Daphnia pulex: one gene and its partner. The protein of the gene in region 2 interacts with the protein of the main gene of each other region in a pairwise test. Links are inferred from orthologs where the notes say so. Each region holds a gene or a part of one and is shown on either strand. Other genes may lie near its edges.

Region 1 (3,699 bases), on a different chromosome or scaffold from region 2:
GTACCAAATTTATATTGTTTTAAAATGTAGTTGACGATGTTTTCGGAAGTAATCCTTGAAAACGCCAATACAGTTCTTATGCAGCAAAATTAAAAAAAAGTTTCAGTCAATAACATCGAATAACATTTAGCGGTATGTGAAATGTTAGGGTCTGCTAGTTTGCACACGTCTCGTATGAAGTGAAAGCAAGAAAGCAAATTTACATTAGAAATTGTTGGTTATTTACTTTTGTTCAGTAATAGAGTTCCAGAAAAGGATAAGTTGTATGATGTAAACCGTCACCATACATGTCCTGGAAACCGTCGACGGTGACATGCAACTAGAATGACAATTTCATTTTTTCATACATATACATGTAAACTAAACAACAATCGGCAAACTCGATGAATATTTATATAATATAAGATTTCTAAAATTGGTCGTTCAGCATTCTGTGTGGCCAAACCTCAAATTTCAAAATCTTTAAAAAAAAACTAAAAATGCCAGGATAGTAAGTATTCTAGAAAAAAACAACAACAACAAAACGGAAACAAAACGCCTCACTTACCTTAACGTTGGTTGTTGCTAATTACTAGACAAGATGGCCGAAAAGGTGTTTTGGTCTCGAAAGATAAGGAAGTGGCTAAAATTATATCCCATCCATGAAATAACATGTCTTTGTTGATCATTTATAGCTACTACAGAACACATTTTTACACTTTACGGAAGTACTGTAATAAGTTATTAGGTTTTTTGGTTGCGATTGGCTTCTTATTTTTCTCCCCAGCCAGCAGTTCCTTCTGGATCTCCACCGGGAGCTCGCGAAAAACTTGAGGATCGACACCTTTTGGACAATCAAAATCTGCTGACTGTTGGGAGGTGCTTGATGATGGTATTTGACACTTCATATCTTCTAAAACTTCTTGACGGATGTCATCAGGTAATTCTTGGAGGACAGATTCGTCAAAGCGTCCACGCTTAGTTGGAGGTGGCAAAGTTTCGTTCGGTCGCGATGAACTAGTAAAATATTTGTTGATGGAATTTTTCGCTGGGCTTTCGATGCCAGAGGGAAAACCAGAGAACGAAATACCCAACAATGTAACTTGCCACGATTCATCGCAATTTACTACCTTTTCGAAGAGATTCATTAGAGTCGTGATGACTTTTTTTTCTTGATTTTCACTTAACGGTCCTAATGGCGCGTTGCTAGGAACTCCAGTCGTAAGATCTATTGCAGTCTGGCGGGCCTCTCTGACACTGTGATTGGTCGCATGTAATTTCCGAACTGTCAATTTAACTTGACTTGGTCTACGGCCATCCTTCTCCACTAACTCCCAAACTCGATCTAGCAGGCACTTGAGCTTCTTGCGCACTTCAGTTTCACTTTTGATTGTAGGAAATCCATCTTCGGCTCCAATAGATTTCGGTCTGTCGGTTATTTTGACACGACTATCGTCGATCCCAAAACTCAGTTGTTGAATTTGGTTAGCTGTTTTGACTCCAAGTGCTTCAATAAGCTTAAACAAATCTGCTGCTTGAAGTTTTTCTATGGTGTCAATACCAAGAACCTCTAGTTTTCTGTTCATTGCTGAACCAATTCCAGGAATATTTCTAGGATGCTTCAATGATTTCATCAAGTTTAAAGATGATGCTGAGAACAAGGTGGTTTGCTGATTTGGTTTATGGGTTGCTCCAACCAATTTAGCTAGAAGCTTGTTACAAGCAATTCCAGCACAGGAGGTGATTCCAAGTTCACTTTTTAGTTGATTTCGCATTTCCTGAGCAATAATAGAACCTTCTTTTAGTCTGTCTGTACAACCACATGCACAAGTTTCATCACTGTTCTTTTCTTCGAAAATGTGTCCAGAAACTTCTGGTTTAATTTCAGGGGACTTGTTGATTTTGTGGGAAATGTCAATAAAATTTTCATCCAAGCCAAGTTTCTCCACAAATGGGCTGAACGATTGAAGAATTTGATAAATCTTCTCTGACATGTCTCTATACTTTTTCAAGTCCTCTCCATTTGCAAGTACTAAGGAAGGGCACTTTTCTAGTGCGGTCTTTATTGACATAAGTTTCTCAACACCCAGCGCTCTTGCTTCATAGTTACAGGTTACAACAATATTTTTCTGTTTGATACCAAGTGGTTTGCCACATAAAGATGGATTTAGAATCATTTCAACTTGGGCATAAAAACAGTCGATATCTATATGGATGATAACGCGTTCATGTTTTTCACTTGACTGAATGGCAACACTATTGTACGAGAAATCGTCACCTAAATCTTCTTCCTCCATTTCGGAAAGAGTAAGGAAAAAGTTTAAACAAACAATAACAATTCAACTACCGGCAAATGACAGCACTGTAGTGTCGTCTGCTTTGTTACTATGAGCCCGAAGCGCAAAGAAAATGAAAATTCATTATTTCAAAATATTTCATAAGCTAATTGATTATTTTCTGATTGAAATGAAGAAAACTTAAAAAATGAATTAGTGTTGTTTTAAAATATCACGAAATAATAAAGATAACCATATGAAAATGATCAAGTATTTCAGGCAACTATGCAGAAATTCATGACATTTGATTTTTACATGACACGCCAGCAAATTCTTTTCTTTCTGTCATTCGTTTTTTCTCCTTGTTGTCATTCTGTCAATTATTCACTATGACAAAATTGGTTGAATGGTTGGGTGGTGCAGGCTTGTTTGCTGGTGTTTGGGCTTACCTCTTTATCAGTACACCAGTTGGAAACTCTAGCGACTTTGCCCGGCATTTCGTTCTGTTCCTACCATTTTACGTATTACTCGCATTCGCAGTAAGTTTTGTTTTTATATGATATGGTGCGTATTATCTATAGCAATTTTTTCCCTCATTATTGCAGGTGATTTCTGTTTCAATAATTGCTTGGAGAGTCTACACATTTAATGACTGCGAGGAGGCTGCCAAAGAGCTAAAACAAGAGATAGTTGATGCCAAAGCTGACCTCATAAAAAAAGGATTCAAACTAGACTAAAACATGATACTCTTTTCCACTTTGTATTGACTGATTGCATTTTCCTCAAAATACACATTCCTCAAAATCTGAAAGTGTTTTGAGGACAGCTAAAATTGTTAGTGAGATTTGATAGTTCCATTTCTTAACACACTTCCATTAAAAGAAGTTTGTCAGACCTGCAAGACAAGACAATGTAATGTACACAGCTTTGGAATCCCCATAAGCATTAAAAAGCACTAATGAAACAACAAAATATTCTCTTACACTACAGTCCTCTTTGCTGTCAAGAGATGTGCAATGCACAGAAAAGTTAATTGTTTCTTCTATTTAAACAGATTTAAAAAGTGAAATGTTCAATATAGGAAAAGTCAGAAATTAGTTTCCACTGTAAGGCCTTGTCAAATGATTACAAAAACATAAAATTCATCACAAGAGTGTCAAGCAACCTTGTCATTCACACACTAAGGCAGTATTATCTGGTATCTATAGCTTTCATGCTACTTCCTTACTCTAAGAGATAAATCAACAGAATCATATAAATAGTAAGGAATAAAAATGTTGCATAGACACTTCGTAATTACGAAAGATTGCAATTCTACTGAAACTGGGCAGGTTTCGTCTTTTTGGGTGAAGGCGTTAGGCAAATATCCGAGGCAGAAGTGTCCCCCTCAGGGAAATAGACTTTGGTGATTACTATGTCACCGGTGGAAAGTGTTTGACAGCCA
Region 2 (4,197 bases):
CATTCCCCGCAACTCGCAGCAATCAACTGTAAAGAATAATTGAGATGGGTTAGAATAATATGGTTTGTGCAGGATAAGGTATATAGCGTACTACCTTTGAGTTGTTTCAAAAGGATTTGAACTTCTTTTTCGACGATTTTGGTGTCGCGAGTGGCAGAACACAATGTTGTGGATCGAGAAATGCTATCACATACTCCGTGACCCATAAATTTCGCTGTTTCTACAGGGGCATCTTTGGCGCGGATTTTGAGCTTCAAAGTCAACAGTTTTCCTCTCACCTAAAGAGACATTTAACAAAGTTAAAATTGCTTTCGCTGTTAAAAAAATGTTTAAATTAATTACGTGAATTTCTTCCATTCGTTTGGACACTTCAATGGACAGTTCTTGAACGAATTTGTGCATTTCCTGATCATTTGCGAAACGAATTCCATAATTTATATCTGCCGAAACAGATTTTCGAACGTGGTCCGTCTATGTGGACCACGCAATATTAACAATTTTGAAATGGAAAGTTAACCTGAGACTGAGATAATACCTTTAGAGCGCGTTTATCTTCTCCCCGGCACATATGATATAATGTTTGTCCTTGCTTTTGACCAAACTCTTGTTGGAGCTTTCCCAAGCTTACCTGATTTTCAGAAACACAATTACATATTTGTTTAATGAAATAGAAGCTATGTACACATACTTGCTGCATTTCAACACAAGTGCGAACGCCCATGCCATGAAGTCGATGAGCCATGGACCTTCCGACACCCGGCAGATCTTCAATTTTGTGGTCCTTCATAAATTCATTCATGTCTTTCTTGTTGATATAAAACAGTCCGTTCGGTTTGGCTTTTTTGGTTGCAAGCCTAGCCATCAGCATATTCGGGCCCATTCCGACAGAGGCGTTACATTGTGTCTTATTAAAGATGACTTCTTTCAAATGAGTAGCAAACTCGGCTGGCGTGAGTCCACTTTGGCGCAAAACGGAGGTAATGTCTGCGTACAACTCATCACAGCTGACGGCTTCCAAGTCCAAAGTGTACGCGGCAACAGTATTGTACAGCGAGGTGGACACCTTAAACACGCCCACAAACGGAAAAATGAATTAAAGATTTTAAATAATTGATTGTAAATGTATTACCTCCTTGTATCCTTCAAAATCGTACGGAATGGCAACCAGATTAGGACATAATTTCAAGGCACCTCCCATGAACATTCCGTTATAAATTCCAGCTGCGCGAGCTTCGTAGCTACACGAAGCGATTTCGGACATGGAACAAGTTTCATCCAAATCCTGAAGTCGTGGAAAAACATCTGAAAGCGTAGCCACCGTATCAACAGCATTGCTGTTATTTTCTGAAAATTTCGATTTTTTGATCCAATGTTCTTTATAGCAGTCGAATTCATATTCTCGATTGCTGCCTTCGCGTCTTGGAAGCGGTTTAGCGTCAGCTCTTGCATGGGTCACAACAACCGGTTTACCCACCAACGATGGATAGTTGCGCAGTCCAACCGAGACAAAGAAGCAATCCATGTCAATGTGCATGAAAACAGTTTCTTCACACTTGTAGTTTCCTAGGCAACCAGTCAAGTTCTTCCAGTTTTCAATACTTTCCATACCTAAATTTTTAAATATTACATGTAATTGCATTAATAAAATGCTGCTATCAAAATTGTACCTGGAAAAACACCATCATTTTTCTCTCGAAGCTCAGTCACATGTCTTTTGAATAACGCTCCCATTGTGGAAATGTGGTGAAGCCTTGAGCGTTTGTAAAATTCAGATAAAAAATCGTCTTCTCCTGCGCGTTTCATTTCTCTTGAATGTCTAGTAATATCACCAGGTGGAACAGGTTCAGAGGAATGTGCTTCATCAATTTTTCTTTCTATTGCTGTTTGATTGTCATCATTTTTCTTCTGTATTGAAGCAATGTCCAACTTTTGTTGCCCTTTGTCTAAAGTTAGCCCAGTGTAAAGCAAATAGGGCTTCACATCCAATAACATATTGGCTTTCAGACTTTCAACAATCCATTCTGGCTTAACAAATTTTTCGTCGCCCTTGAGTTTCTTGATTTTAGCACCACACAAGTTGGACGCAATTATATGAGTAGTCGTTTTTGAATTATAGTAATGGTGGTAAACTCCTCCATTGGCCAGCATGATGCGCTTCAGTTCTTCTGCAGTTGGACTGGTATATCCATTGACAAAAATTGCAACATTTGAAAATACATTGCTTAGTTTATCATCTTCTTGTACTTCATTGAATTGTTCATTCAAATACTGATTTTCTAGTTTAGAAATTTTTGCTGCCATATAACCCCCCTGTAAATAATGATTCCAAATATGAATAACATAATTAGTAGTGTCAGAAGTCGAATAAGTCGTCTCACCCACTCTGCAAATCCATTATCGTCCCTATTTTTCCTTTTACCCCTTCCAGCCATCGTTTAATAAAAAAGAAAATCTCAACACTTGCAAGAAAATTTTCCACTACATTTGAGTTTGCTGTGCACGTTTGTTTACATAAATTGTTTCAAAAAATATCACTAGATGGCAGAAGAAATTGCGCATTGCCAGATATTGTAAATCGCGTGTTCGGAAAAGATATTTTGAAATTTTAGTTTTTAAAAAATTAAATAAAACTACTGGATCAGGACTGTTGTTATTCTTTTTGAAAGTGTGGAAAGACACAAAAAAAGATATGCCAATTACTAAAGAAGATTTGAATGTTATCAGGAAAACAAATCTCAAAATGTAGGAAACAAAGGAAGAGCATGGGAAGAGGAACGCCCAAAGTATTTCCTGTTTGAACAATTATAAAACTTCCCAAATGTATAGCAGATGATGATGGCCGGAGATAATTACATGTATCCTCTTTTTCATTTGATGGTTTGCCAGGGGTATTATCTTCATTCGTATTTGTGTGTTAATCAGAAGAAGACGATAAACTGCCAGTTTTGTTTCCCAGAAATGGAACAACGTTATTGTGTCTCTAGGTACTTATCCTTGGCTGGAATTATAATAATGTTTGTGATCACTATAATTTGTTATCATCAGACATCGATCACTCGGGAAAGAGTAATAGTGCGCATCCACCCTAATGATGTGTTATCCGAGTCCCATCAGACGAAGAACATTCTATTGTGGAACGGTTACGATCGAATCGAAATGAAAGTCTTTCTTAGAAGTTTGCCCAACAATAACTCGTGTCCGTACAGGAATTGTCGAGTCACAACTGATCGTCGATCAAACTTACTGGGCAAATTTGATGCCATTATTTTCAATATGGCTGTGCTTCATCAACTGGAAAAGTCTGACAAGCTGCCACCAGCCGACACACGGGAGAGTCATCAATATTACATCTTTTTCAGCCAAGAATCACCTTTCTATCACAAGGAAAACGTCCAAAAGGATTACATCGGATATTTCAACTGGACCATGAGTTATCTGCCCGAATCAAACATTCCTTATCCGTATGGCCGGATAGAACGGGCAGCGGTTGATTTAAAATCCAAGTCTTATCTAATAAGGAAAAAGACAAAACTGGTCGCCTGGTTTGTTTCGCATTGCAACACAACTCAAAGTCGGCGAGAAAATTACGTCAGAGAATTGCAGAAGCACATCCCTATCGACATCTTTGGTCTTTGCGGTCCGTTGAAATGCAAATGGAACTCTGATACGGGGATTTCACATCCGGAATGTTACGACATGCTGGAAAAGGAATACAAGTTTTATCTGTCGTTTGAGAATTCACTGTGCAGCCATTACGTCACGGAGAAATTCTATTCGATATTGAAGCTTGACGTGGTGCCAGTTGTCATGGGTAGGGCCAATTACAGCGACATTGCTCCGCCGTATTCATTTATCGACGCCCTGAGTTATTCACCCAAACAACTGGCCGATTACTTGCTGTTGCTCGATGGCAACCAAACACTTTACGAGAGGTACTTGAAATGGAAAACCAGTTACATTATCCGCAGTGGATATGAAGAGATGGGCGGCCAGGCCTTGTGTTCTCTTTGTGCACAACTCAATCTGTCGGATGACCGGAAGGAAATAATGCCCGCTGATGTTTTGTCGACATGGAACCCAACGACCCGTTGTCTCAATCCGCGCTACGTGAAAGCTTTTCGCAGTATTGACGGTAATAATAATAGATCCACGACATCTTAGACTTGTTTCTACATCTCTGACTTGTCTCGTGCCTAA

What was found. The genes of interacting proteins can lie anywhere in the genome.
Region 1: the proteins of DNA repair protein REV1-like (region 2) and DNA polymerase iota-like interact in a two-hybrid assay, tested with the Homo sapiens proteins (2 studies listed by BioGRID). The link is inferred for Daphnia pulex from reciprocal best matches to the Homo sapiens genes REV1 and POLI.

Annotation. Positions count from the first base shown.
Region 1 is NC_060019.1:7,787,826-7,791,524, forward strand, and holds DNA polymerase iota-like, read right to left. Parts: upstream 2,351-3,699; 5' UTR 2,277-2,350; coding exon 693-2,276; 3' UTR 655-692; downstream 1-654. Other genes in the region: egalitarian protein homolog, read right to left, coding at 3,570-3,699. UniProt on the Homo sapiens protein: Error-prone DNA polymerase specifically involved in DNA repair. Plays an important role in translesion synthesis, where the normal high-fidelity DNA polymerases cannot proceed and DNA synthesis stalls. Favors Hoogsteen base-pairing in the active site.
Region 2 is NC_060017.1:8,178,842-8,183,038, reverse strand, and holds the start of DNA repair protein REV1-like, read right to left. Parts: upstream 2,901-4,197; 5' UTR 2,433-2,900; coding exon 2,379-2,432; intron 2,311-2,378; coding exon 1,668-2,310; intron 1,609-1,667; coding exon 1,130-1,608; intron 1,064-1,129; coding exon 689-1,063; intron 629-688; coding exon 536-628; intron 472-535; coding exon 343-471; intron 279-342; coding exon 95-278; intron 27-94; coding exon 1-26. Other genes in the region: alpha-(1,3)-fucosyltransferase C-like, read left to right, coding at 2,959-4,161. UniProt on the Homo sapiens protein: Deoxycytidyl transferase involved in DNA repair. Transfers a dCMP residue from dCTP to the 3'-end of a DNA primer in a template-dependent reaction.